4 linked regions of the Arabidopsis thaliana genome follow. The protein of the gene in region 1 binds, or shares a complex with, the protein of each later gene. Each region holds a gene or a part of one and is shown in the gene's direction. Other genes may lie near its edges. The genes, in order: FVE, AT5G02950, AT3G09670 and AT5G40340.

The links.
Region 2: FVE (region 1) and AT5G02950 share a complex: the UniProt entries of both Arabidopsis thaliana proteins name them as parts of the PRC2 (polycomb repressive complex 2) complex.
Region 3: FVE (region 1) and AT3G09670 share a complex: the UniProt entries of both Arabidopsis thaliana proteins name them as parts of the PRC2 (polycomb repressive complex 2) complex.
Region 4: FVE (region 1) and AT5G40340 share a complex: the UniProt entries of both Arabidopsis thaliana proteins name them as parts of the PRC2 (polycomb repressive complex 2) complex.

Annotation. Positions count from the first base shown.
Region 1 is NC_003071.7:8,452,927-8,460,738, forward strand, and holds FVE (Transducin family protein / WD-40 repeat family protein), read left to right. Parts: upstream 1-2,829; 5' UTR 2,830-3,079; coding exon 3,080-3,363; intron 3,364-3,718; coding exon 3,719-3,782; intron 3,783-3,875; coding exon 3,876-3,962; intron 3,963-4,071; coding exon 4,072-4,134; intron 4,135-4,307; coding exon 4,308-4,373; intron 4,374-4,517; coding exon 4,518-4,592; intron 4,593-4,729; coding exon 4,730-4,805; intron 4,806-4,878; coding exon 4,879-5,074; intron 5,075-5,184; coding exon 5,185-5,266; intron 5,267-5,346; coding exon 5,347-5,420; intron 5,421-5,494; coding exon 5,495-5,606; intron 5,607-5,691; coding exon 5,692-5,766; intron 5,767-5,870; coding exon 5,871-5,938; intron 5,939-6,022; coding exon 6,023-6,122; intron 6,123-6,207; coding exon 6,208-6,309; 3' UTR 6,310-6,716; downstream 6,717-7,812. Other genes in the region: LBD8 (LOB domain-containing protein 8), read left to right, coding at 304-404, 489-750; AT2G19530 (uncharacterized protein), read left to right, coding at 7,293-7,395. UniProt on the Arabidopsis thaliana protein: Core histone-binding subunit that may target chromatin assembly factors, chromatin remodeling factors and histone deacetylases to their histone substrates in a manner that is regulated by nucleosomal DNA.
Region 2 is NC_003076.8:687,561-694,180, forward strand, and holds AT5G02950 (Tudor/PWWP/MBT superfamily protein), read left to right. Parts: upstream 1-3,124; 5' UTR 3,125-3,248; exon of another isoform or gene 3,249-3,371; 5' UTR 3,372-3,392; coding exon 3,393-5,291; 3' UTR 5,292-5,539; downstream 5,540-6,620. Other genes in the region: AT5G02940 (ion channel POLLUX-like protein, putative (DUF1012)), read right to left, coding at 22-176, 246-344, 453-525, 608-679, 789-1,039, 1,127-1,212, 1,335-1,390, 2,029-2,114; AT5G02960 (Ribosomal protein S12/S23 family protein), read right to left, coding at 5,720-5,860, 5,949-6,075, 6,174-6,329. UniProt on the Arabidopsis thaliana protein: May influence gene expression by regulating the function of the PRC2 complex and modulating H3K27me3 level.
Region 3 is NC_003074.8:2,963,346-2,970,319, forward strand, and holds AT3G09670 (Tudor/PWWP/MBT superfamily protein), read left to right. Parts: upstream 1-2,855; 5' UTR 2,856-3,168; exon of another isoform or gene 3,169-3,175; intron 3,176-3,270; 5' UTR 3,271-3,291; coding exon 3,292-5,472; 3' UTR 5,473-5,713; downstream 5,714-6,974. Other genes in the region: MCM8 (minichromosome maintenance 8), read right to left, coding at 448-600, 700-795, 894-1,157, 1,456-1,619, 1,714-1,936, 2,023-2,140, 2,214-2,357, 2,624-2,821; AT3G09680 (Ribosomal protein S12/S23 family protein), read right to left, coding at 5,852-5,992, 6,075-6,201, 6,295-6,450, 6,942-6,946. UniProt on the Arabidopsis thaliana protein: Together with PDP1, PDP3 and PDP6, interacts with MSI4/FVE and MSI5 to suppress FLC, MAF4 and MAF5 expression by regulating the function of the PRC2 complex and modulating H3K27me3 level, thereby promoting flowering.
Region 4 is NC_003076.8:16,129,624-16,137,860, reverse strand, and holds AT5G40340 (Tudor/PWWP/MBT superfamily protein), read left to right. Parts: upstream 1-2,467; 5' UTR 2,468-3,001; intron 3,002-3,168; 5' UTR 3,169-3,180; coding exon 3,181-6,207; 3' UTR 6,208-6,464; downstream 6,465-8,237. UniProt on the Arabidopsis thaliana protein: Together with PDP1, PDP2 and PDP6, interacts with MSI4/FVE and MSI5 to suppress FLC, MAF4 and MAF5 expression by regulating the function of the PRC2 complex and modulating H3K27me3 level, thereby promoting flowering.

The DNA of each region.
Region 1 (7,812 bases):
ACAATTGTGGTAGATTTGGAAAGAATCTTTTCAAAAGTTGTAAACTAGTCAATATTCCCAAAATTTAGGGTAATATAATATTAGTTTTTTTCAAGTCAAATGTAATCTCAATTTACTTCCAAAACAAAACAAAATAAATTAATGTGTTGAATTTTTAATGCACATCATATATTTGGATCTCTAATTAATTTCTTTGACTGCATTCTGCAAACATTATCTATAAATACTTATTTGATAGTGTAATTTTTATTCATCCTTAAATTACTCAATCAATTTTTATTTCTAAAAGAACAAATTATTGTTATGGAACCACTAGGAGATCGTCGTCCTTGCTGCGTATGTATCACCAAAAATAGAAATTGTCCTAGATTCTGCGAATATGCGGAATACTTTCCATATGAGTTGTATACTTTTTTTAAAAACTTTTTTTCCTTACTATTATCTTCTGCTAAACATTTTACTTGATATTAATTAATTTTAATTTTCAGGCGAAGTCATTATGAAAGTACTAATGAATTGTTTGGCACACCAAAGATCATTAAGATGATGAGGCATGCTCCTGAAGAAAAAAAACAAATGCTTGCAACTTCCATAATCATGGAAGGTAATGCTTGGACAAATGATCCTGTAAGTGGTGGATTTGGTATGGTGCAAAAGATCATGTGGAAGATTATGTTACACAAAGCCTACCTTCATGAACTCGAGGAGAAGATTAAGGAAGAGAAGGAAAAAATCGAGCTTCATCTTTAAGTGATACATTGTAGCATATATTATTTATGCATCAAATAATGATTATTTAATATAAAATCATATTTAAGATGAATATTAAATTACCGTCGAGCAAGTTAATACCTTATATTTCTTATTCATATTTCTTGTGATTAAATTGTTTGTGTATTTAGATGATCATAAATGAAACTTTGAAATCTAGAGAAACATATTGTACATATAATAAAGTAAAAGTATAAAAAATTGATAATTTTAAAAATACGAGAACTTCTCGTTTCTTGTTCTAAGTAAAATAACATTCCAATATAGAATTAGGGTTTAGTTGCCTTTGGAAAATTGCTTTGTAAAAAGCTAGATATTATGTTTCGTTTAGTATATCTTTGACTCATGATATTTGACATTTGATTAAAAATCATGTTTGCCTTACATGCATAATATCTTAAATGCTTGTATCACATGTCTCTAACTACCACGAAAAACTTTGTGTATAAAAAATTCAAATCTTTAATTTTTGGACGACAAATTCATTAGCGTTACTAATTTCATTGTACCTATCAGTTTTATGACGATAATAATACAATTTATTTCGTCCCAAAAAAAATAATATTTATTTATTAAGTTAATAGGAAAATAGGTGTAAATATACAAATATGTATATGTAATATGCAATTAGAGAATATATGAAACACCACTATACTATCAACATTAATATTAGTAAGATGAGAAACATAAATTAGATGATTTGAGTCAATATTTTTCCCTAGTAATCTTAGTAATAGTTTTTTTTTTCTTTTATTTGCATAGTTCATATACATATTTGTATACATATATGTTGTGCAGATCTAAAATTTTTGTTTAATACCTATTTTGCACCTCTACCAAATAAATTGTGTTAGAATTTTAAAAAATTCATAATCACAACAAAATTTCTAACACTATTTAATTTGTTGATCATAAAAAATCTGAATTTTTATGCACAAAACGTTTCTTAATAGTCAAAACTAGTGATATAAGAAGTGCAATGCCAAGAATTATAGAGATTTGAAGCGAAATTTTAAAATGACATGATTATACATAACTTTTAAGTTCTAAACTATAATCATAATAAAAAAAATTAAGATATTAAATAGAGCGAACAGACGTTTAGGTTTTTTTCGGATTTACCATATTCATCAGATTAATCCATGCTGGATTGAGAAAAAGCCTCAAGCTTGGAACAACTACATGTAAATCATAACCTCGAGATATTTTAAGGCTTTCAATGTCCCAAAGAAAGTTATTTGGTGTCGAATCCATGAGTGAAAATTGAGCTTTTCACATAGAACAAAGAGGGATATGAAATAGTACAATTTTATGTTTTAAATAAAGAAGATAAAATGAAAGGTAAATTTTATAGGTTTAGCCAGCAGAGAACAAATGAAATGAATGTTTTAAGTTTAGACACCAAGAACAAACTTAGGGTTCAAGTCTAAGCTTAGTCATATACTTCTGAACAATATTGGACTTTATTGTTCAAGTATTAAACAAACATTGAAATCTTCTTAAATCACTTTTCAAAATGCAACGAGGATCTATTCTTTTTTTTTTTTTCAGAAGAAGCTACAAGAAAGAACAACAAGTTTGGATATGAATTATAAAGTTAGTAATCCATGTAAGAGACGCTTATATTAATTAATTTATACTGTTAATTATTTCATCCGTAATTTTTATTATTATTCAATAAAGTATTTATTTTACTGAATTAAAAAATAATAATTATGGGTGTTTGGATATTCGGTCGGGTATTTTGGGTTTGAGTTTTTCGGGTTTAGAATTTTAAGATCCGTTCGAGTAATTCAAGATTCCGGGTCGGGTTTGGTTCGGTTTCGGGTTTAGTTATATATTGAAATATCAAAATTTTGTGTCCGAATCTATTAAATTATTTGAAAATTTCAAAAATTCCCTAAACAACCCGAGTAGTTTTGCTTGAATATATTTAAAAATACATAAAAGTAACTAAAATATCCGAAAAATCATAATATTGTCTATATGTAAATATAAATATAAATATTTTAGTTATATTTATATTTAAGATATGTTTGGGTACCAGTTCGGGTTCGGGTTTTTCAGGTTTTGAAGTTTAGATTCAGTCGGATATTTGAAAATTTCAGGTTCGAATTTAGATTGGGATTTTTGGATTGGGATTTTTGGATCGGGTTCAGATCGGTTTTTTCGGATTCAGGTATTATGTCCAAAGTAAAAATGGTAAACGGTGGTTGTTTTGTTTGTATTTGTAAAGCAGAAGAGAGAGAGATATAGAGACACTGAAAGCAAAGACCAAAAAAGAAAAATTAAAAAGAGAGAGAGGAAAATGGAGAGCGACGAAGCAGCAGCAGTGTCTCCTCAAGCAACGACACCGAGCGGAGGAACCGGAGCTTCTGGGCCGAAGAAGAGAGGTCGGAAACCTAAAACCAAGGAAGATTCTCAGACGCCGTCGTCTCAGCAACAGAGCGATGTTAAAATGAAAGAAAGTGGGAAGAAAACGCAGCAGTCGCCGAGTGTTGACGAGAAGTACTCTCAGTGGAAAGGTCTCGTCCCCATTCTCTACGACTGGCTCGCTAACCATAACCTCGTCTGGCCTTCACTCTCTTGCAGGTCTCCCCCTTTCTCCTTTCCTCTCCTTCTAGGGTTTCGTTTCGTAATCGTTTCTTAGCTTTGAACATTCTCATGTTTGGAATGAATTTAGTAAAATCTTACACATACATTTTCTCGATTTCTGGGTTTAAGTGAGATTGTTGCGATTGTTCTAGTTAGGGTTTTGGATGTGGCTCTGTCTTCATACCTTGATATATCTGATGTTCTATTCATGAATTGTTACTATTGATTACCTTGTTGGTTACTAATGACTAAGAGGAATTTTCAGTTTCTCTGAGTGTTTATATCTGATGAAGTCTTTAGTTGTTGTGCTAAGAGTTTCCATTTGGTGAATTGTTGTTTGATTTTTTTATAGATGGGGTCCGCAGCTTGAGCAAGCAACCTACAAGAATCGCCAGCGTCTGTACCTCTCAGAGCAAGTAAGTTTTTAGCTTTCTCTTGTATCTTGTTGTCTCATCTTCTTTATATACTTCTCATCGTATTATTTGTATTTTTCTTGGTTGTGTCACCAGACTGATGGAAGTGTGCCCAATACTTTGGTCATAGCAAATTGTGAAGTTGTTAAGCCAAGGGTTGCTGCAGCAGAGCACATTTCTCAGGTATTATGTGGTTTAATACTAAGCTTGTGTCCTTTCCATATCCTACTCCACACTACAATTGGTTTCATGTTTGACACTTATATACTATCTTCTGAAAATGTGTTCTCAGTTCAATGAAGAAGCACGTTCTCCATTTGTGAAGAAGTACAAGACCATCATTCACCCTGGAGAGGTGTGAATTCTGCCCACTCTTGAGATATTTCTGTATTGACATTGTTCTTTTTAGTTCTATTTGGTTTGTTAATTGTATCTGCATCCCTGTTTCATCTGTCCATGAAGTTATTCGTTTGGCACGTTGGTGAAAGTAAATTTTGATGTGTATTCATTACTAATTTGCAATTGCAGGTTAACAGAATCAGGGAACTCCCACAGAATAGTAAGATTGTTGCTACTCACACCGACAGTCCTGATGTGAGTGCTGCTTCTATTTTGTTATGGTCATAGCAACTTGAAATATGTCGGTTTCATATTTCTGTATTTGGCAGTCAAAGAGCATCCTTTGTTCGGACATATGTCCAGTTTCAGAGTTATCTAAATACAATATGTTGATTTCAGGTTCTCATTTGGGATGTTGAAACCCAACCAAACCGTCATGCTGTGCTTGGAGCTGCAAATTCCCGTCCAGATTTGGTATGTCCACTTCTGAGAATGTTGTTTTATGCTTTATTCTTGTTTGTTTCTCATCATTGGAAGTGATAAATCTCTTTGATATCTTCTTAAATAGTGCTTCTTGTTTGCATCATCTGAATGAACCATTTTTCATGCAGATACTAACTGGGCACCAAGATAATGCTGAATTTGCTCTTGCCATGTGCCCAACGGAACCCTTTGTGCTCTCCGGAGGTTTGTGTTTCTGTAATTTGTAGAGTCCAATCCTGTGGTTTGCCAGTTTCTCATACAAAAGTTCTTCTCTTAGGCAAGGACAAGTCAGTTGTTTTGTGGAGTATCCAAGATCACATCACAACGATTGGGACAGATTCCAAATCATCTGGATCTATCATCAAACAGACTGGTGAAGGTACTGATAAGAATGAGAGTCCTACTGTTGGCCCACGAGGTGTATATCATGGCCATGAAGATACAGTTGAAGATGTGGCATTCAGCCCGACGAGGTAACTTCTTAGAACAGACTCCTTCTATTGATATCGTGTTTGTTTATGCATACTGCAGATATTTTCATGATTTTCTAATAATACTTCTGGTGAACTTTTATACCGTGAAGTGCACAAGAATTCTGCAGTGTTGGTGATGATTCTTGCCTTATACTATGGGATGCGAGAACTGGCACAAACCCTGTCACGAAGGTACTCTATCTTTTGAATCCTATCAAAAGTTTGAAGATTTACCTCCTTTTGATATTATATCTTACTTTTTTGTTTTCCAGGTTGAAAAAGCGCATGATGCTGATCTTCATTGTGTTGATTGGAATCCTCATGACGACAATCTGATCCTGACAGGGTATGGAGAAATACATACAAATAGATGATTAATACATACTTAGTATCTAATTAAGAAATTGATGAATATTTCAGGTCAGCAGACAACACTGTCCGGTTGTTTGATCGTAGGAAGCTTACCGCTAATGGAGTTGGTTCGCCTATTTACAAATTTGAGGGACACAAAGCTGCTGTTCTTTGTGTTCAGGTATAATCAACTTTTTTTTTTTTTTTCCTTCTTTGTATGAAGTATATCTCTTAACCCACTGACACTATCTTGTTATTCAATTCAGTGGTCTCCTGATAAGTCATCCGTCTTTGGGAGCTCTGCAGAAGATGGTCTCTTGAACATCTGGGATTATGACAGGGTGTGTACATAGTTCACTCAGATGTCTAAAATTAATCTTTCTTCACTATCATCACTGAAACATATTCATTGTACTCATGTTTGGTTTGTTTAATTAACCATCAGGTCAGTAAGAAGTCTGATCGTGCAGCTAAAAGCCCCGCTGGGCTCTTCTTCCAGCATGCTGGTCACAGGTTCTTAAAGACTTATCTTGATTTTTCTTGATTGCTTTCTCATTTTACTTGCTTCTAAGTTCCCTTGTTTATAAACCATATTAGGGACAAAGTTGTTGATTTCCACTGGAATGCTTCAGACCCTTGGACTATTGTCAGTGTTTCTGATGACTGTGAGACTACTGGTGGAGGTGGAACATTGCAGGTAACCTTGAAATCTTTCTTGGTACCTTGATAAGCAATTTTATTGACATACCGTTAAATGTTGTTTATACTTTCTTCTATGGCAGATATGGCGGATGAGTGACTTGATTTACAGACCAGAAGAAGAAGTCGTGGCAGAATTGGAGAAGTTCAAGTCGCATGTTATGACTTGTGCCTCCAAGCCTTAAGAGTAAAGAAAACCCATTGTCTATCTATCTATCGCCTATGGTAAACTAATGCGGGTTTTAGCGAGGAGTCTTGGTTTTTGTAAGGCTGGTTTGTCTTTTGAGATATTGGTGGTAGCTTTTAGGACCTTTCCATATCAGTTAGGGGTACATGGTTCTGGTTCATGATCCTGTTTCATCAGACTCTTAGGTGCTGTTTTGTTCAACTGAGATGTTAATCAAATCGGACCAACTTTATGTGTTTTGGTTTAAGGTTTCAATACTTGGCCTGAACCTAATGATTCCTTCTCTGTAACTAGTCGAGACCAACCCGGCTACAAAAAAAATAGTTGCATTGATGTTCAAATGCAAAGCAGAAGGGGTCATTATAAAACAATATAGTAATAAGCATCGCAAAATTTGGAAACTGGGTTCTTGATGATTCGTCGCATCTTAAATAATGTTTGCATTGTCGTTTTCATTAGAAAAAAACTGTTAATCACGCTTAGCAGTAGGATTAGGTGATTTTCAATTCACAGATTTATTCGTAGGATTTTGAAGAAATTTTAAGTATTAACAGTCACTAAACAATCAGACCATTGCAAATCATACATAGATCACCTGGTCATTTCATAAAACTAAACTATATGATAATGTTTTACTTTATTGGGCTTAACGTTAATGGTCCTCCCGCTTAATAGGCTTTATGAAGTCTCTTGATGAGCTAGAGACTTTAAAAATCCAATCACAAAGCCTACATGAGACCGTCAAGATCAGTCAGAGAAGATCAAACGAAGAAGTTTTTGTTCCAAAAGATACTAAAGAGAGAAACATGAATCAATGTATTGCTTGAGGAATAAGGTAGGGAAGCTAATCAATCACAAGTAGACGAATCGGAGTATTTCATAAAATTAGGGTTTTTAGACCTACATTTTCTTTTCTTTTTCCGACGATACTTAAATTGCTCGAGAAACTCTATTAGTGAGAAATCCCCCATCGGAATCTCGATGGAATCATCTCCTTCTGGATCCGAACCTCCGCAGAAAGTCGTTTCTAAACTGCAGAAAGTAGGCTGGCGAGCTACGATGATCTTCAATCTCGGTTTTGCAGGTTAGAGAAATCTTCATTACTTTCTTAGTAAGGTTTTTAGTTTTACGTCCGTAATGTGTTCGATGTAATGCCTAGCTGAGAAAGTTCTTTCCTTTTTCTTTATTAATTTTTGAGAATAGAAAATACGAATTCTTCTAGCGGTCGTCTGATATATATGATACTACAATTTATCCCTTGAACTGTTGTTGTTGTCCTTGCTTTGATTCTCGAAGAAAGCTGATTGCATTACTCTGAGAGTGTTTGATTCTCCACTCTATTATCAGATATTAGAACATGCTTATTGAAAGGACATTTTTTGGATCTGTATCTCTCAGTCACTGTTGATGTTTTCAGCGACATTGAATTAAGCAAATGTAGTATCTAGAAACTATCTATATCTCTGTGTGCGTGTGTGTATATATCTTGGCTAAGCATTTT
Region 2 (6,620 bases), on another chromosome or scaffold:
GTGTGACCAAATTTAAATTACCTAGCTGTGGTGGTACCTAAGCGGACAGCATGCTGTTGATAACTGTTGAGTTGCTTTAGTATGAAAGGCAGATGACTGTTTATTCCACAAATGATGATATGGTCAGATTCTAGGACTTGCATATGTGCCCCTTCCCTCACTTTTTTCATATGATACTGCCCAAGACAACATCGATCAGGATAACTTTTACCAATTAACCAATAATGTTTATCTCAAGAACTTACCCGAAATTGCTCTGTCATTGTGCTTAAAAGCCGAGAGTAAAACACTATTCCCCAAATGGCTAGGACAAATCCAATGAGTCTTTCGAAGCGTGTCTTTTGCTGCAGTTTGCAGTAAACATATACATAGGCATTTATTTAGTAAGCAAGAACTCCATAGAAATATCGTGAGACTAATATAAGTTGTTCTGTGAAGAAGCAAATCATGACCTCCAGATGAGTATCAGCGTTAACGAGGCATGCCCAGGCCTCCCAGAGGCAGTCTTCTAAGGATGTGTCTTTCCTTCACAACAAGAAGGAGGGGAATAAAAGTAAGAAACCATGCAATGGATATCACAAGAAGTTCTTAAACATAGCTAAGTTACCTGAATTTGAAAAAGAAGAGTCCTCCAATGATAACAAACGAAAAGCATGTTATCAGGAGCACCACAAATACCCTACAATAGCCATGACAAGTGATCAGAACGGATGTCATATATAGTCACATGCCTGCAAACAGCTATACTCGTTAAAACTCTGAGACTACATTGGGGTTTAAGGACGTACGTGCCAAGGTTCTTCTCAAGCTGAGTATTGAAGAGGTAAGAAGACCTTGCAAGACCCCATTTGATATCATGGGAAGAAGGAATGGCCTTGAGTAAAGGATGTTTGTCTATAGCGTTTGATGCACATGCAAAAGGCAAGCCAGCCTTCACTGAATTCTGAATGAGATTTGGAAGCTCTTGAAATATCTTTTGCGCTATTCTCAACACCGCATACAGTGGGATGCATCCTATCACAAGTTTATATGGAAGACTCTGCATATTTAATTAAACAAGATTATATTATTATAAGCATATGGAGTGATAACACATTCAGTGATGAAACTCATTCTATAGATTCACCTTATAGAATTTGGAATTTAAATCTTTGAAGTTTTTATTAGGCGGCTCTGTATCTCCTGTCCTTTGAGATTTGACTTTGAAGGTCCCTGTCATATAGAGAGAAAAAAAATACAATTAGCTAATCAAGAATGAGTCTAATTGTGGAAGAACAGCAACAATGAGACCGTAAAGAATTGCATCAAAGTTGGAAAAATATACAGAACCTGACCTCTGAAACTAGAAGACTTAATCCCACCTAAAGGCAGAGAGTGTAAACTCAAGCTCCTGCAAAAAAAGAATCAGAGATACACAACTTGTAAACATCACAACCCAATGAGCTTTGATTGAATGACAATTTCCAGATTTTGAATCAATTTACGATATACCTTTATCTTACAAACCCAAATTCCATTTGAAACTAAACTCTAAACCCAAATTCAGAGCTCCTAACTAAAACCGTCACATTTTCTAATCGAAACCATTGAACTTGGCTACATTTACTGTAAGCAAAACATGAAGTAAAATTCACCGGAAGAAGAAACAACAAAAATAAACTGTGATATATGCCCAAGCAAGTTTTGAAGATAAGGACGAAGAAGACGCTGACGGAACTAGAGGGTTCGGATTATAAAGAAAAGAAGAGAAGACACAGAAATAAACAGAGGCATTGGCATTTCTTTTAGAATATAGAATTTGTTGAGAGGAGTTACTTAGTATTGATCGCTTAAATGATAAATACCGTGTTCTTTAAGTATCTGTATCAGTTGTTTGGAAATAAAGAGCTTGTTTCTAACAAAAACACTCAAAATCTTCTGAGGATCACAAACTTCACAATCATCATCTTATCACTTATGGATAAAGTCACCACCATGCAATTGTTTTCAGAAATATCAAGTATAAGAAAGAAATTACAAAAACAAAACCTGTGAAAAGAAGCTAATCGATCTCTTGTCAAAGCTTGAGAAGGTAGAATCAATGGCTTCCAGGTAAACAACTGAACAGCCACCATCTTTCTTAATCTTCTCCTTGATTTATCTTACGCTCTTTTTGTTTCTCTCCTTATATATGTGGGTGGAGTATGGACACAAGGCTGGTTTTTTAGATTTTTGCGTGATTATTTTGTTGTTGTTATATTGTTTTGGACCATATTAGTTAGCCCGTGGGGTGTTATGAACATAAAAACAAATCGACTAATTTTTTTTTTGGCTTAGAACTTCATTTGAATAGGTAAACAACGCAGAGGAATCGCGTCCATAGAATAGAATATAATAAAAACAAAATGGTACTCTTATCGCTTTGAATTTTAACTACTTTCTCTTATTCCACTCACTATTCACGTTTTTATATACATACATACATATAAGAGTACATGTGCTAATAGCTGTCCAAACAAAAAAAAGAGTACATGTGCTAATAAACGACTATTTTTTAGTACTTTTGTTTCAATCGTTAAAATCTCATCCACAATTTTGAATCTCGAACGTTACTGGCTCCCAAAATATCCTCTCAATGTTGAGACGCCACATGACATAACAATAAAAATGACAAAGACATAACAAGAAAATGGATTTTGCATTTTTTGACCATTGAGAGAGCTAAGCACTTTACACAATAAACGGTGTTATTGTGTTTATATATGAATTGATATATTATTTTGTTAGTCTATGAGGAGTATTTAAAAATATCCCCAAAAGAGGTTTTTCAAAATATCACTTTTTAGTAAAACATACTATTAAACAAGTTTAGAAAACTTATAAAAAAGTGTCTTAATGTTGTAGGAAAACATTTGGTTCTCATTAAACATAAAATTAACAAATTTAATTCTTTAGAAATAAACTAGTTGTAGTAAAATTCTAATCTACTTGTAGTAAAATTCTATTCTATTTAATATCAGTAAAAACAAGTCAAATTCAAGTTCAAATAAAGAGGGAAAAGCAAAAGTTTGAAAATTTTGAACCTCACTCAATGTAATAATGTATGGTTGTGATGAGTCGAGACAAAATCAAGTACTGCCACGTGGAATAATTCGTGACGTACACGTAGCTCTCTCATAAACCCCCTCAAAACGAAAGAAACTCTGTTATTTCTTCATTACCCAAAATCTAAGCTTTCGTCGCCGGCGAAACCGTAACCGCCACCGGAGGTTCTGTCCACCTTTTTTGCTCTCCGATTATTTTCTTCGTCTCTCGTATGATGTACTGTTTTTGCTTTAATGGAAGCATATACTGAAGCAATTTCTGCTTTTTTTTGTTTCTTCGTTGTCTAGGGATTTTTGTTGGTGCTCGTTATGTCTACGGAACCAGAAGGAGTCGAATCTGACTCCAACGCTGATTTTGCCATAAATGCGTCGAGTTTTGACTACGGTATGGCTCACACATCTGAAACCCTAGCTGATCCCATGAGCTTTCAAGCTCAGGACTTGGTAGTGAACCTCACTGGAGTTGAGCGAAAAGTATTTGTCTCTGCTCGTGATGATAAGGATAGTCTCTGTAACGGGGTTGATTTTGATGCTGATTCAGATCTGCTTAAGAACAAGGATAAGAAAGGATTTTCTAAAGAGAATCTGAAGCTTTTTGACTCAGATTTGGTTTGGGCTAAACTAAGAAGTTATCCATGGTGGCCTGGACTGGTCTTTGATAAATCTGTTGCCTCTAAAGCTGCGATGAGGCACTTCAAGAAAGGAAATGTCTTGGTTGCGTATTTTGGGGATTGTACATTTGCTTGGAATAATGCATCTCAGATAAAGCCTTTTCATCAGAATTTCTCTCAAATGCAGGAGCAGAGTAACTCCGCTGAGTTTCGTGATGCTATTGATTGTGCTTTGGATGAGGTTTCAAGGAGAGTAGAGTTTGGTTTATCTTGCTCTTGTGTTTCAGAGGAAGCCTATAACAAACTCAAGACTCAGAACATAATCAATGCTGGAATTCGTGAGGACTCAAGTGTTAGATACGGTGGAGACAAGTTATCGGATGGAATCTCTTTTGAACCTGCTAAACTTGTGGATTATATGAAGCATTTAGCTTGCTTTCCTTGCTATGATGCGACTGAGAAGCTGCAATTTGTGATTAACCGAGCTCAGGTATTGGCTTTTCAACAATGGAAAGACTATTCTCACTTCATTGACTATGAAACATTTGTAAGGTCGGTGGAATCTGCTGCGACCCTGGCTTCTCTCCCAGAAGTAAATATGGATGAAGGAATATCTGCCAAAAAGAGAAAGACAGATTATAAAGATAATGCTGAACAGACAAAGGAGAAGACTTTGTCAGATTTGACTGTAAAGAAACGCTGTGGGAGCAGATCAACTGAGAAATTGGATGGTAAGTCGCATTCTGAAAAGAAGCGTAAGGTTGAGTCTTCGGAATCTGGTAAGTCTGAGAAAAGGATCAAGAAAAGTCAGCAAAAGGAGGATTCAGTGTCTAAACACTCTAATGAGGAAAGTCTTTTGTCAGTGGGTGATACTAATAAACTGCAGAAGACGGCTGAACCGTGTCATGGAACTGGAGTGGAAAATGAGATGAATTCTTTAACTCCTACACTTAAGCCTTGCCGTGCTTCTAAATCTACGGAAGTTGAGAATGAGAAGACTAAGAAGCCGAGACATCAAGAGCTTGCTGAAAGAAAGATTTCTTCTCCTGATGAGATGCTCTCAAGCCTTCACGCTGCCAATACCTCAACGGGAATACCTGATTCAATCAACATAGACCCCTCGAATTATGAAGATTTTGAAAAGTTCATTAATGAACTGTTTTGCAGTAAACTCAATGGTGACTCAAAGAAGGCAAGTATCACTGAGACATCAGAACCTTGTGATAAGAAAGACTCTGCAGAAGAAGAGATATTACCTGCAAATAAAGAAATCACTGGCTCAGGCTCGAAAGAGCAAATTGGTCTCAAGGACTGTTCTGCAGATTCATTACCACCCTATGCTTTAGTCCTCAACTTTGCGGATTCAGGTTCGGTTCCATCTGAAGAAAAGCTGAACGAGATATTTAAACGTTACGGTCCTCTCCATGAGTCTAAGACTAAGGTCACGATGAAGGGTAAGAGAGCCAAAGTTGTGTTCAAAAGAGGGGAAGACGCAAAGACTGCCTTTAGCAGCGCAGGGAAATACAGCATCTTTGGACCTTCTCTTCTAAGTTACAGACTCGAGTATGTTTGCCCCAAACGGAAAAAAACAACATGACTGATTGAGTCACGGCATCTCTTAACTTTCAGAGATTAGGGTCTGATCAGATATCATCAGCTAGGTCTTATGATGAGAGTAGATTTTCGATAAATAAACGTAACCTAGGATTTATGATGAGAGTAGGTTTTCGATAAATAAAAGTAACATTCGTGTGATGAGACTAATTCTTAACTTTATGACATACAAAACCAAAACTGGAAATACCAATGATAACAGTAAAGTTAGTCGCAACTGAAGATGAGGCTTATAAGTTAAAAGAGTAAATTGATTAAACACCAATAACATTAAACGATCATGTCTTAATTCAAAAACTCATAAAATGTAACACAAAATCAAGTTCTTGAAACATAAAGTAGAACAGAACAAGACTTAAACTGAACTATCAAAAACCATATCAAAAGCTTGAAGCTTTTTGTACGGGTTGCTTAAGATCTTGGCTTCTCCTTCTTTTCCTTGAAGAGGGCCAAGAGTGAAACACCAGAAACCTTCACGACCTTGAACCTAACTCCGGGAATATCTCCCACAGCGTGACCCTTACGACCAAATCCAGCAATCAAGACCTCATCCTGCAACACCATAAACAAGAAATGTATCAGCATATGAATGAAACTAATCCATAGTGTGATGATTGAATAGTCATTTCATGTGACTTACGTTTTCCTCGATGTAGTTCAAACAACCATCATTGGGGACAAAGGCAGCAATCTTCTTTCCATTCTTGATAAGCTGAACTCTAGCACACTTACGGATAGCAGAGTTAGGCTGCTTAGCCTCAATACCACTGCATCATCAAACACAAGAGTCTCATCAACGACCAATGTCTCTACTCAACAAATCAATTATAAGAAAAAGTAAACTTGAATGTTATATCAGACTTACATTTTCTCAAGAACAATTCCTTTAGCGTGAGAAGAACCAGCAAAAGGCTTCTTCCACTCATTTCCCAAGTGAGACTTCTTGTACTGCTTGTCAGCCCACCTCTGGTTAATTCGGAGTCTCTTCAGCTTACGCCCAGCTCCCATACCACGTGTCTTACTGTTAACAAATCATCACAAAATAACATTTGAGAACAACTTCACTCGATAAACCATAGTTAAAACTCAGAAAATCAATAAGAAATTCATCTAAATAATAACAAGACGATAGAAGATTTATCTCTAATACATCAGCAAAAGTGAGCTTCAAAACCCAAGAGACCATAGATACTCATACAGCGAATTTTAAATCTCCAGTTATCAACCATACTAGAACTCCAGAGTAGCTCAAAATTTACACAATCTATTGTGGATCTATACATAAAAAACATTTAGCAAACATATCCAGAAA
Region 3 (6,974 bases), on another chromosome or scaffold:
AAGAAAGATGGAAGGTTTCTCGTCCTACACACAAATCAGTTGAACTATTTAAAAGTAGGGGTTCCTCTGCATATACAACTTTTTACTATTGTGCCGTTCTTCAGTAAAACCCTATCCTAATACTGATAAAACACTTTTGAAGATGCGAATTTTTGAATGAACTATCTATATCTTGTAGAAAGATTTTAGACTGCTGCTAATTGATCCCCCACTCTAAAGTCTAAACTATAAGACAGTAATATAACATCCACATAAAATGACATCACTTGAAACCGACAAGGCATACACAACCTCAAGCATCAAGACAAGAAATGAATTTTAGACTAAGTAAGTATTAAGTAAAACTATCCATCAACAGCATGACTCAAACCCATATCGGAAACAGTAGAATAATATGCTATATACTGAGATTTGTGCGGGCTAAATAAAGGAGAGGGTATGAGCTACCAGCCTCAAACGCATAGTCATTTGTCATGGAATCTTTCACTACAGCAACGGTGAGCCCTGCTCTAGTCGTCGCATTACCACATACATAAATGCCACGAGGGGAAATGGCAGCTGCTGCTTGCAAGAGCTGACTTTTGCCCAATCCTGGGTCACCTATTAGTGCATCGAAAATCATCAATCACAATTTCGTGCTACAAACTAGTTACAAATACCCTTTCCTCAGCTCAAGCTAAACATGGTTCAAAAGCTTACCAACAATAATGACATGAATGTCTCCTCTGACTGGAACTTTGTTCCGATCCATCGAGTGCTTCCTTACACCTCCAAAAAGAGATAGTGTTATCCCAGCTGTTGAAATGATAAGAAGAAAACAAACAACAGACGTATCATGATATGCAATGCTTCTAATTGTAATCATCAAATCTTGTTATGGACAGAAGTATAACCTTTGACAATTTCATGGCCATAAATAGACGGGCAGACTGAATGAAGTATGCGACGGAATGTATCAGAACCATATTCTTCTTTGAACTTCACAATAAATTCCAAGTCTCTCTGAGAGAATGAATATAAGTCACCAACATCTGCAGTCTGGGCACTGCTACTAGAGTCTTCTGAGTTCTCAAATGCAGACTGCCGCTTGGTGTTTTTCACTGAAACTGCCTCTATAAACAAATAGTAAAATCCTTGATTCTTGGTCTTCGATTTCCCTGAAACAGGAGCATTTTAAATGTTTGTTAAGCTTGAGTATGGCTTAATACCAGTAATGAGGCTTCTAGCTCCTTGATCTTTGGTAAAATGTCAATATGAGTAAAACAAACAACTTAGCAGTGCTCTATTTTACTTTCCTGCAATGAGATTCCCAAAAACCATGGAAGAGAACTTTAAGAGACAAATTTCCAGCTATTCTACGGGTAAGGATAGCAGGCGTTTGGGCATGTTAATGTTTGCAAATTATGGACACAACAAGGATGGAGAGAACTCCATGAAAAGTTATAAAATCAATACCTCCCCCAATGTCCATGTAATTATTAATTACTCCTATAATCCCTGTAACTGTCACCACATCACCAGGGATACATATGTCCACAAGGTCTTCCATCAGCTCACATTCTACAGTTCTGGGTACCCGTCCTTCTTCGTGGTCTTCAGGCTTTTGCAATTCCTGTACCCTAAAATGCATTTGGACAGCTGGTTAACAATGGTCAGATACATAACTAACAAGGATGAAGTACACAAAATGATGAGACGCAAATAGGAGAACACCTGATTTTCTGAAAATCAATTGTCTGAGCAGAGGACCGGATTGGAGTAAACGTTTTGGACTTGCATCCATGGGAATCACATTTTAGTGGAGGAGAAAACTTTCCATCAGTAAATTCCCGGGTTATGCCAGTTTTGCACTTTCCACAGTCAAAAGCCATCTGTGTGACAAGGGGTTTCACAGTACTAACTTTAACAACAGTCCCATGAACGGTTACAAGCTTTCCTGCAATTTCAAAAGCACACACTCATGCTATGTCTCACTTAAGGTTTTACATCTTATTATTTATTTCGCTAGATGAGACAGTCTACCAATATAAGCTGCTCTCAGGTTTTTCAGGGAGATAGAAGATTCAGGATAATTATGCAGACGAACATTGATCTTCATAACATTCTCAAACTCATTAGTCTCCCATTGATCAAAAAGAACCTGTGAGAGATGACATAAGTCTTCATCTTATGCCAACCAAGAAAACAAACCCCAATGAAAAGTAATAGCATACCTTGTGAACAGCAGCATTCATACATGGGATAACTCCTTTAGGATTATCCTCTAGATTTATGAAAAAGTTCTCGATATCAGATATTTTCTTGAATTGTTGGAGATCAAGAGACAAAGAGAAGGAACCACCACCGTCTTCATTCACCTGGCTCAAGCCATGGAATAAACTTATAAACTGTTTCTCCTATTTTTAGATACTAAGAAGAACTAATTGACGCATAGAGAAGTTGATTAATCGTTTTCTATCTACCCTAATTCTTCATAGAAGTAGAGTGGAAACGAAATCTAGCTAAATAGATTACAATTTCATAACCGGAATTTAATTTCGAAATCAAGCTATACCAAGCTTTATAAAATTCAGATTTATAAACTTTTTACCAGAAATTTGATGATGGCCAAGTGAGGATGTACCTGAGAAACTATGTCTCTACCAGGTGATGCGGAGAATACGCGGATGAGCTCCGCCGTGAGCTGCAACTTATCCTCGTCGATGGCCAAATTCTCGTTGTCCTTGATGTATACAGCTAATATTTTCCCGATGCCGAGAGAATCAATTCCTGTTGATTCAGGGCGACCCGATGCCATGCTTCCACCACCGTAAAATCCCATCACCGCTTAACCCACTGTAACTCGCTCGTCGTCAGTCGCAGAGAAAAATCTCGCTTAGGCCAATGGGTTTTGGCGGGAAAAAGGTAAAGGGCTTTTTGTGATGGGTTTTTGGTAAGTGGGCCAAATGATTGAACCCTAAAACCCAAAGATAACCAAAAGAAAGGATAAAATCAATTAATAAAGCTTTAGTTGTCCGCCACGTGGACTGAACCGCACAAAAATTCACAACAACAAAAAAAAAACGAGAAACCCGTTTCTGGTTCGATTTGACGTCTTCGTTTACTTCATTTCTATAAACGAGCTCCCGCCGCCGGAAAATTCGCTGTTCATCACCACCGTGACCAGAGGTTTGTTGTGAGCACCTTCTCTATCTTTCTTTCTTCACCTGTAGGTTCTGTTATATGTTTTGTTGGGAAATGAACTGAAGAAAATTTCTGATGATTTTCTAGGGTTTTGTTTTGGTACTGCTTATGTCGACGGAATCAGAACGTATTGAATCAGTCTCAGAGGCTAATGCGTCGAGTTTAGAGGTCGGAAATGATCAAATGTCTGAAGCCCTAGCTGGTCAAGCTCAGGAGCTGAAAACAATTGGAGATGATAAAGAAGGATGCGGCAACTTTGCTTCAGCTGGTGATAATGGGATGGAGAAAGTAAATGGATTTACTAATCTTGTTAAGGAAACGGAATCTGTAAATGGAGAGTTAGATCTAGGCACTAGAACCGAAAATGTAGGTGGAGAGAGTAACCAAAGTGACAAGAAGGTTCTAGTAGATAGCGAAGAGGTCATGATGGTAGAGAAAAGGGGGCTTCTTGTTGAGAAGGAAGTGGAACCTGACATGGTCTGTTCTCATGGCGCTGATCTCAGTGATGTGAAGGTTTCTGATGGCAGACTGGATAGTGAAGACCTTGTTCAGGATAGAAAACCCGATGGCTTAGAAAAGCAAGGAACAAAAGTTGAGGACTTGGATGTTGTATGTTTTATGGGTTTAGAACCGCATGAGAGCAAGGATGAGAGTATTTTGGATGATGAAATTGCCCATGTAGCTGCGAAGGTGAAGATCTCTGACTCAGATTTGGTTTGGGCTAAAGTAAGGAGCCATCCGTGGTGGCCTGGACAGGTGTTTGATGCCTCGGCTGCAACAGACAAGGCGAAGAAGCATTTCAAGAAAGGAAGTTTCTTAGTAACTTATTTTGGAGATTGCACCTTTGCTTGGAATGAGGCGTCACGGATTAAGCCTTTTCGACAGCATTTCTCCCAAATGGCAAAGCAGAGTAGTCTACCTGATTTTATTGATGCTATTGATTTTGCGTTAGAAGAGGTATCAAGAAGGATAGAGTTTGGTTTAGCTTGTTCTTGTATCTCAGAGGAAGTCTATCAGAAGATCAAGACTCAGAATGTAATCAATCCTGGAATCCGAGAAGATTCAAGCTCAATACACGGTGGAGACAAGGTCTCAAGTGCAGTCTTCTTTGAACCTGCAAACCTTGTGGGATATGTGAAGCGTTTAGCATGCTCTCCTAGCTATGATGCTACTGATGCGCTGCAGCTTGTAAGTCAGAGAGCACAGTTATTAGCTTTTAATCGCTGGAAAGGCTATACTGACCTCCCCGAGTTTATGACACTCCAGGGGTCAGTAGAGTCTGCACCCAAGATTTCTCCTGCAGAAGAGCAAAGTAGCTTAGTGGAAGTTTCTGATCCTGAACCAACAAAGAGTAAACAAGTTTATACTAAAAGAAGAAAGACAAACCTGCAAACAGAGCAAAGTAGCTTAGTTGAAGTTTCTGATCCTGATAAAGGTGACTGTAAACACGATGGAGTGTTTGAATATGAAGAAACTATTGTTCCAAAGAAAAAGGAGAAAACTTTGGCAGAGTTCATTGCTGAGAAACGCGTAAGCAGACATAATGGGAACACATCACATGAAAAGTCTGGTAATGTTCCGCATTGCGAAAAGAAACGCAAGGTTGTGCAGTCAAAAGTTCCCAAGTCCACGAAAAAGATTAAGGCAAACCTGCAAACAGAGGATCCAGGATCTCCAGTTTCTCCCAAAAATGATCGAAAAAATAATTTGTCTGCTGGTGATAAGATTACACCACAGAAAGCTAGAAAAAGTTTCGGAATTGGGGCAAGCATATTGAAAGTGGCAAACCAGATGCATTGTTCAACACCAACCAGACTCTTACCTTGCAGTGATTCGACCTCCAAAAAGGCAGCCAAGAGCAATGGCAGTGGAAAGAGTCTTCAGGAGAAACCTAAAGCCGAAGCATTATCAGCAAGAGAAATTTCTCCTTCAACTACACTTTCAAGCCCTCACGCTGCTTCTGTTACCAAAACCACAAGTGGGAAATCCAATTCTGTCAGCCTAGACCACAACCTATCCGGAGAACTTGATCAGGTCAGAAAGGAAGCTCCTAGTACTAACCTTGTGGAGGACCCGATGTTGGAGTCTAGAGACTTGAAAGACTCTTCTAAGGAGCAGGTCGTACATGAGGATAAGAAAGAAGCTGCAAATGTAGCGGATGAGAAATCTATTATGGACAGCAATCTAACCGGGGAGAAAATCAGTGGCTTGGACTTGAGAGAGCAGCCGAGTAACAAGAACTGCTCTGGTGGATCTGATAGTTGCAAGGAAGATGTTTCTGCAGAGTAGGAAGGCTCAGCATCAGCGTCTAACCCACTAATACAGATCTTTCTAAAATCGAGTCCGGTTCTTGTTAGTACCCAAGAGTGGAATATACCTTTTAGATGGATTCTCTTCTCTTTCAAAGTTTAGAATTGTATGATTTAATCAGAGTTGAACAAACACTAGTGAGAGAATGTAACAAAGTTATTTTTGTTTTTCCAGATTTGTGCAATTTAATGGTCAATAATTCATTTGAATCCAAAACTAATTATGAATTTGAATAAATAAATTAGAATCCAAACAAAATTAACCTCAACTCGGAGGAAAATAGAATAAGAGATGTCACTGAATAAGTACATAGACATGCCTTCAAATATCAAAAAAAATTCATAAAATGTAGTAGAGCTCAAGACCTAGGCTTCTCCTTCTTTTCCTTGAAAAGGGCCAAGAGTGAGACACCAGAGACCTTCACCACTTTGAACCTAACTCCGGGAATATCTCCGACGGCATGACCTTTACGCCCAAATCCAGCAATCAACACCTCGTCCTACACACAGTATCAATGAATGAGTAATTGGTAAGAATATAATTTGATTACTCATTCAAAAGTAGATGTCAATCTAACTTACATTTTCTTCAATGTAGTTCAAACAACCATCATTGGGGACAAAGGCAGCAATCTTTTTACCATTCTTGATCAACTGAACTCTAGCACACTTACGGATAGCAGAGTTAGGCTGCTTAGCCTCAATACCACTGCATAATCAAACACAGAGTCTCATCAAAGTCAAGATCTATACTACTAACAAAATCAAGAAATGGTAAATATATATGTTTATACAAACTTACATTTTCTCAAGAACGATTCCTTTAGCGTGAGAAGAACAAGCAAAAGGCTTCTTCCACTCGTTGCCTCGATTAGACTTCTTGTAATGCTTGTCCGCCCACCTCTGAGTAATCCGAAGCTGCTTAAGCTTGCGACCAGCTCCCATACCACGTGTCTTACTGAAGATATTCAAATAGAAGATAAAAGAAATTGAGAACCAAAGGACATTTCATCAGATGAAATCAACTCACTCAGAACATATAAAACAAATTCGGAGTTGATAAAGAACATAAAGTTATAATCTAAATCACAAATACTTAACACAAGAGGAGAGTGTAGTAAGGAAAAAAATCAAAAATCATAATCATAATTTCCACATTTCAGACCAAATAACTCCAACGTTTATAAGAAAAAACTACGAATTATAGCAACTTCGTAGCTTCAACAGGGTGATTAACAAAGTATTACTACACGACGTATGAATGTCATTCAAATCCCTTAATTCAACCATCCCGACCCGAGATAACGAAAACGGCAAGGCACCAAAGAGAAACCGGAATAAACAAAAAAAACATAAAACAAATCCTAAACCCGACATAACAAAAACACGATCACTTATAAGCGGAGAGATGAGACTGAAACATAAAGAGTCTAAGAGAGGATACCGTACCCCATGTTGACGACGGCGCGAGTGAAAAAGTCG
Region 4 (8,237 bases), on another chromosome or scaffold:
TATAGAAGTCTCTTTCGGGTGTGGAAATACATGTACATGTGGATCAATGAAATGCACATGTCACATGCTGTATAACATTCATAAACATACATAACATGTTAATCTATTAGCCTATAGTCATAGAACATGTGTCATCTAGGTTTATAAAATTTCCACACTTATTGTTACCTTTATTCCCAATGTATCCAATTTTGTGCATGACAATGCAACATGTGGAACCCGACGTTAGCCTAACTCTTTGAGCTGAACTATCAAAACCTTAAATCTTTCTAAGAAATTTCCATTATATTAGAGGATGAAAAAAAGACAACATGAATGAAACAACAATTTATATACTCGATCTAAAGAAAATAATAGCATAAATTAAAATTTTCAGAAAAAAACAAGAGGGAACATTGGTGTGAATAAGTGTAGTTATTGTGCTAAATTAAATTATGTTGGTCTATAAAGTATTGGTTAATATATATCAAAACATCAGAATGCTATAACGTCTAGATTAACTTGAGCTTTAGCAATTCGCATGAAGAAATAAAATTTGATGGTTAATTTTTGATCCAAAAATCATCTGATTACTAAAAATAATAAAGAAGAATAATCGGACCGACAAGGATATTATTCGTGGACGACAAAAAGTTTGGCAAGGGAGTGAGTTCACTACAGTAAGACGGCATATGTATTTAAGGATTACCAAACTTTTTGCTTTAGCCAAGGAAGCTTTTTCTCAAGAGCCAAGAGGCACACTTGTAAAAATATATAATCAAATATATGTATATATCAAACTAAATCAATACATATCAAATGTTGTCCTTGCATATACACAAGTAATTTCACATATGTGATAGTGATAGTGGTAGAGATCATCATCTTAGTTGAGACTTAATTAAATATGAACAATCAAGTTCGCTATTGCATCTATATATGTTTTTGCCTTTATTTCTAATCATGTAGATTAAGATCATTTTTATGATATGCGTATAAATATTGTAGAAAAGATTAAGGTGCACAATCTAGATTTGGATAGATAGAAAAAGTAGAGGCATTGGTTTAGCTATCATATGTTCTCATCACATCAAGAGACTTGGATCTTAATTAATCAATGTTTCCATATTTACTGATAAATAAAAAAGTTATAAAGTAGACAAACCGTTGATATAATTTTTCACGTCCAAAGAGAGTACGTAGATCACCTCATGACCAGGTTGCTTTATAGTGTTTAGATTGTATAGCATTCATATTCTGACTGAATCTCTAGAACATATGCTCAAATCATTTCGTTTGGAGTTTTGACCCATCCTCAAATCATATTATATATGCATTCTATGCAAGTACAAATATGAACCATTACATTTTGTTGAATTAGGTTGCATGTCTTTTTAGTTTTGCCCACATGTTTTTCGTGTGAGAATTGTGAATTCCCCATGTGAATCATAAATGAAAAGATAACATGGTGGGTCGTTCACAACTTACAATTCGGAATTATTTTAAACGTGTCTGAATTCCCTTGGCACTGTAATGATCCGTCTGTTACGTTGCCTTGGGCCTTGGGCTTTGGAGATGGACTAATATTTACACAAGTTGGGTTCAAGGTCATTGAGCTTTCTTTCAAACTATGATTAAGTAGTGGGAAATATATGATTCATATATCACTATTACTTGGTATTACAGTTCTAATACAGATTATACAGTTGATTCATATTGGTTCGCCGTCGATACTACATATAATCATGTCATGAGAACGTGTTGTTCGTGTAAAATTAACACAACAAGAAAATTACGTTTAGATGTATCAAATGTTATCCTAACAGATTTCACATGTTATATAGTCTCAACGAAAAAAATTAAAACATTTAAACTGGGTCAAAAGATGTATTTAAGCGATTTTCTTATATGGTGTAACATAAGTTGACCAAAAAGATTGAATATGAATTAGTGTGAAGATTGATTCAATGACTAAATCTAGTTTAATCATAAAATCTAAACATTTATCTTTTTTTAATAAAACTCAAACCGATAAATAATTTTGTTTTAGTAACAAATTAGATTTTATAAGTAAATTAATTTTTTTATTATTATTAAATGTCAAATTTTAATTGAATAAAATAAAAAAAGTGAATATAAGGGTTCAACTCAAATATTTTTCAATTCAATATATATAACCAAGATTTTCGTTACCACTCCACTTAAGTAATGCAGTGAATGAAAAAGAAAAAATAATCAGTGTCTAAAATCAAAATACCGTTGGTCAGTTGAATAATGAAAAAGAAAAGATCTTTGATTTTCCTTTTACTTGGTAGATTCCTACTCTTTAGGATTGAGGTTTTAATAAAAGACTTTAATCAACAAGCACTAAATTTAAGATACTGGTGTTGTGTAATAATAAGTTTGGGCCGAGCAAAAAAAGAAAAGGACTGGGCCGAGAAACGGCAAATATTTGTGTCGTTTCAAATACCAAATTCAAAATCTCCATTCTTTTATTACTCTGCTTATTAGCCGTCTAAGCATATTACAGCTGTCAATCATCGAAAGCATGTGACGCGTCTCTCTTATTTCATCCCACTCGCGTTCATATACACGTGTTATCTACTCTCTATCCGATTTCCGCCACGTAAGAATCTAGACACTGATGTTCTTATACACATAGCGAGTAAGCTGTATTTTACACTCTCGTAGCTAGTCAGTTTATTGTGATAGCGACACGGCTGATTTAGGGAAATAAATTAAAAACGTTGTCTTATTCCTGGGGCAAAAAAAAGCAGATAAGTAAGCAAAAAAAAAAACTCATTAATTACGAAAGTACCCTTAAATTTCTCCGAAAGGAAATTTTTGCGCCGCGTTTCATCTTCTCTCAAATCAAAATCCAGAGAGAAAAAAAAGAGAGGATTTTTCTCATGAGATTCTGAGAGTGTCTTTGTTCTTCTTACAAAGAAGTGTTTTTTCTTGAAGATTCTTCGGTCGCTGTTCGAAAAGTTGTTGTTTCGTTTCTCTCGGAGCTCAAAATCAGGTAAAAAATTTGTTACTTTATATTTTCGTTTTTCTAGGTTTTTCGTAAGAGTTAACCTAATTTCAAAATTTGTTTTTTTGGGAGATATTGTTGGGTTTGTGTGTAAATAGTTAGGTTGATTTTTTTTTCTGATTTGTTTGTCGTTTTGTGATTTTTTTTTTCTACAGTCGGGAAGAAAAATGGAAATTGAAGTTGTTTTGGGAATCGGAGAAGATGCGGGACCTAAGCCTTGTTCTGCAGAGATTGAATCAGCTGAGAAAACCCTAAAAGATGATGGTGTTGTTCAAGAGAACGGTGTTAGGGTTTCCGACAACGGTGAGAAAAAGTCTGATGTTGTTGTTGATGTTGACGAGAAAAATGAGAAGAATTTGAACGAATCTGGAGTTATTGAAGATTGTGTTATGAATGGAGTTTCTTCCTTGCTCAAATTGAAGGAAGATGTGGAAGAAGAAGAAGAAGAAGAAGAAGAAGAAGAAGAGGAAGAAGAAGATGGCGAAGATGAAGAAGAAGAAGAAGAAGAAGAAGAAGAAGAAGAAGAAGAAGAGCATGGATACTGTGTAGGAGATTTTGTGTGGGGAAAAATTAAGAATCATCCATGGTGGCCAGGTCAGATTTATGATCCATCAGATGCTTCAGATTTGGCTTTGAAGATAAAGCAAAAAGGGAAATTGCTTGTGGCGTGTTTCGGAGACGGGACATTTGCTTGGTGCGGTGCGTCGCAGTTGAAACCGTTTGCAGAGAGTTTCAAAGAGTGTTCGAAAGTGAGTAATTCGCGGAGTTTTCTAGGTGCAGTGGAAGAGGCGGTTGAAGAAATTGGTAGACATATTGAGCGTGTATTGGTATGTGATTGTGCTGAGGAGAAGAAGCATGAGTTTGATAGTCCTTTAGTTAACAATGCTGGGATTAAAGAAGGTGTTTTGGTGCGTGATGTGAGACGGGAAATGATTTCGTCGTTGTTGATTGGTAAACATGGAGAGATTCTTAAAGATGTTAAGAGTTTTGCAGAGACTGTTAGTTTTAGTGGCTTGCTTGAGCTGGAGATATTGAAAAGGAAGGTATCTGCGTTTTATCGGTCTAATAGAGGATATGGTTTGACTGAGTATCATGAACCTCAATCAGTTCCAGGACTTGAAGACAAGAACAATGATGATGATGATGATGATGAAGAAAAGAATGTTAATGATGGGTTACAATGGCGTGCTAAACGGTCTAGAGTAGAAGAAGTAGCAGCTTTGGATCATGAAGAGTCGTCGTCTCTTCAGAGATCGTTAGAGAAGTGTTCTGGTTTTCCTGATCATAGGCTTCCCCACAGAAGGAAGGAGAAAAGCATTACTGAAATAATTGAGAAGGAGTCAGCTGCTAAGGTTAGGTTTGAGACAGAACCTGCGGATGGAGATGTAAAGTCAAATGTTAAGTCGGGTAGGAAGAAAACAAAACGCCATGATGAAGTTAATGGTGATCTTGAAAATGTAACTACTACTGCACTGTGGAGGAGAAGAAAGAGTGAAGTAGCTACAATTGAAGACGGTGGTAACAAGCAAGTGGTAGAAAGTAGCAAAGGCAAAACTTCGAGGAAGAAGAAGAAAATGGATGTGGATGATGGCGATGATGATGGGAGTGGAGACAAAGAAGAGTCTGAGGAAAAAGAGATTTCAGATCTGGAAATAAATATCGATTCAACTTCATTAGCTTCGCTGCGGAAAAAGGTAAGGTTTGATGATTCAGTCGTTGAAAGGAGTACTGAAAATGGCGAGACCGCTACACAAACATCAAAGAGAGAGAGGAAGAAGAGCAAGTATCTCTCGCCTGATTTCTTGTCAGATTTTTCACGGAAAGGAAGAAAAAAGAGTACAATCGAATCTGAATCTTCGAAAGTTTCAAGTCAGAGCCAAGTAGACGAGCGAGTGACTGATGCTAGTGATAGCCTCATGGAAGTGGAAGAAGATACGTTGGATAAACCTTGTGAACCATCATCTGATAATGGATTAGGTCAAGAAGAACTGTCTAGGGAACTTAGTAATGCCGTCGACTTTCTGAGGTTGGGAGCTACACCAAAGGAAATGCAGGATCTAATTCGTGTAGCTGCTCTTGGCACACAATATCCAAAAGACAGTAGCTCAAGAGACATGGTAAGAGAATTCATGACCATCTATAGAAGCTTCACATATCATGATGGAGCCAATCACAAGTTCTTAGGGAGCTATGATAGTTCGGATAAAGAAAAGGAAGAACTGAGTGAGATGGGTAAGCCTGTAACTAAGGGGAAAGAGAAGAAAGATAAGAAGGGTAAAGCAAAGCAGAAAGCAGAGGAGATAGAGGTAACTGGTAAAGAAGAGAATGAGACAGACAAGCATGGGAAAATGAAGAAAGAGCGAAAACGTAAGAAGTCTGAATCAAAGAAGGAAGGGGGTGAAGGAGAAGAAACCCAGAAAGAGGCTAATGAGTCAACAAAGAAAGAGAGAAAACGTAAGAAGTCTGAATCAAAGAAGCAATCAGATGGAGAAGAAGAAACTCAGAAAGAGCCAAGTGAGTCAACTAAAAAAGAGAGAAAACGTAAGAATCCTGAATCAAAGAAGAAGGCAGAAGCAGTTGAAGAAGAAGAAACCCGGAAAGAGTCTGTTGAATCAACCAAGAAAGAGAGAAAACGGAAGAAGCCTAAACACGACGAAGAAGAAGTCCCGAATGAGACTGAGAAACCCGAGAAGAAGAAGAAAAAGAAGAGAGAGGGAAAGTCTAAAAAGAAAGAAACTGAGACGGAATTTTCAGGAGCTGAGCTATATGTTACATTTGGTCCTGGTTCAAGTTTGCCTAAAAAGGAAGATCTGATTGAAATATATGAAAAATTTGGAGCTTTGGACAAAGAGAGAACTGATACGGTCGACAACAACTTCTCTGCCCATGTGGCTTTCTTGGATGTAGCTGATGGAGAAAAAGCCTTTGAATCCTCACTAGAGAAATGTCCGTTTACTTCTAATTCGACGGTGAAATTCAGACTCAAGTATCCAAATGAGAGAACAGAGGAGAAGAAAACTGAAGCTGAAGTTGCAGAGACGACAATGGAGGTGGAATATCTGAAGAAAAAGCTGGATGAGATGAAATTGTTACTTGATGGATGCGAAGGAGGAATGACTGAAGAAGTGAAAGTGAAACTTGAAGGTGAGATGGTAAATTTGTTGGAGAAAGTGATAGAGATGAGATCTTCTTAGGATTATGATTTTATGTTTTTATTTTGTTGGTTGAGAACTTTCAGGACAGGTTTTAGGATATTTATGGTTTCTGCAAAACATAACAAAAGTATTTTGAGAGGTTAATGTCTTGGTGATACTATGATCTTGTCGTAGGGTAGACAGAATTAGATCGATGTTCTATGTTTTTGTGTAGACTTTTTTAAAGTTTACCAACTTTGATACTAAACCCATTAGTGGGCTTTTGGTTTATCACTCTCTTGAAAGCCCACTAATTTTATTATATTACAAACAAAATTTTCAAAATCCTTTCGACGAGTATTGAATGTTTGATGAAGCCATACAAAGAGGGAGGTTGGAGATTTTTATTAGAAAGGGAGTCTCGTCGAGACTGAATCATTTACGTAATGCTAATTAGTGATCCAACAACATAAATGTTCTAAGACAATGAACAAATTCAACCATTTGATTGATCACAAAAAATGTATCCAGATAATGTATAAGAGTTAATTAAGATATTTGGCCAATTTCAAATTCAATTATCAAATTCAGAACATTAGGCTTAATCATGTTTGCTTGTTCATGTTTGCTTGTTCGTTTTTGCGTTAGTTCTCGGAGAAGCTGTAGACTTCTATCTTTGAGGTTTTGTGGACGGACCTTGAATAATCATGCTCGTGGCAACTAGGATGAGGATTCCAATACTTCGGTACTGCGGCAACAACGCAAATTTCCGAGCTTCGCGGACTCGGAATCGGTGTTTCTCCTCCTAACTTGGCCTTGATCACTCATCGGCGATCCTTTGCAATTAGAGTTGTAATGTTGTTCTTTAATTTTCTGTAAATTGTTTTGTTCTGCTTCTACTTTTCCTTGTAATTCTGTCAAAAACAAAAATGGTATAAAATTTCACCTTTTACCAAAATTAAAAAAAAATAAAAAATAAAAAATTCAGAAGATTAATTTATGTGCAGTAAAATACATACATAAGAAAAAATAACGGGACAATATATCTACTATTTTTTAGTTTATCACATCTATGATAATAATAAAATTATGAAACAATTAAAATGCCTAAATATGAATAAAATATAAAATTATTTAGTAAATAAATGACATAAAATGATAAATTCTTACAAAATAAATGTGAGATGATTATATTGCTCCTCAATTCATAAATAAAAGATGAGAATTCAAGATATCCATTGCTGTCACGAAATCTACCAAGTCACGTTAACGTGATTGGTTTTAATTTTAAGACATAAATACGTTTTAATGATTTGGTTTACTTTTTTGTTGGAACAATTTATTTAAGTCAACCAGAAAAAATAATCTCTAACAGTCTTGGCTTCTTCAACTAACTTTCAAATTCCAACGTACGAGGTCTGGTCTTATCTAAAGTATGAATATGTATGATAGATTAATCGTCATTGATTTCAGAACTCTAACATTAGTCAATGTAATTAATGTATAATTAAGAGACACAAAGAGCCTAACCTGACAAGACCTCATTCATTTTATAAAAATCTTACAAGCGGGTGATACGTAGAATCAAGGCTTGTAACAGCTGGATTATCTCGGTTGACCATATTTGTTGACTTAAAATGAAAAAATTTCCGACCTTATGCAAGCGAAGATTATATTTTACTCTCCTTTTATCATTTTAGATTTTCTCACATATTAAAACTATACCATTTATTTATAAATGTTCGAGTATAAATCATTATTAGAAAGATGCCAAACTAAATGATACAGTATAAATTAGATATTGGTAGTCTGTATTTTCCACTACACTAAAAGTTAGGATTGACCTTTTTTTTGGAGAATCCAGAATTAGATATAGAAACCAAGAGTTAGTTTTCACAGCTGAAAATGCACTAGTTATCACTTTAATTTGATTAAGTTGTTCTTTTCTGTACAAAATACGGAAAATCTTATGTGAACGCCAATGTACGAATGAAGTAGAAGTATAAACACTTAACTTGTAAACTAATAGGATATTTAAGTTGGTTACATTAGGGACATAACCAAATAACTTTCTAGTATAAGATTTTTTT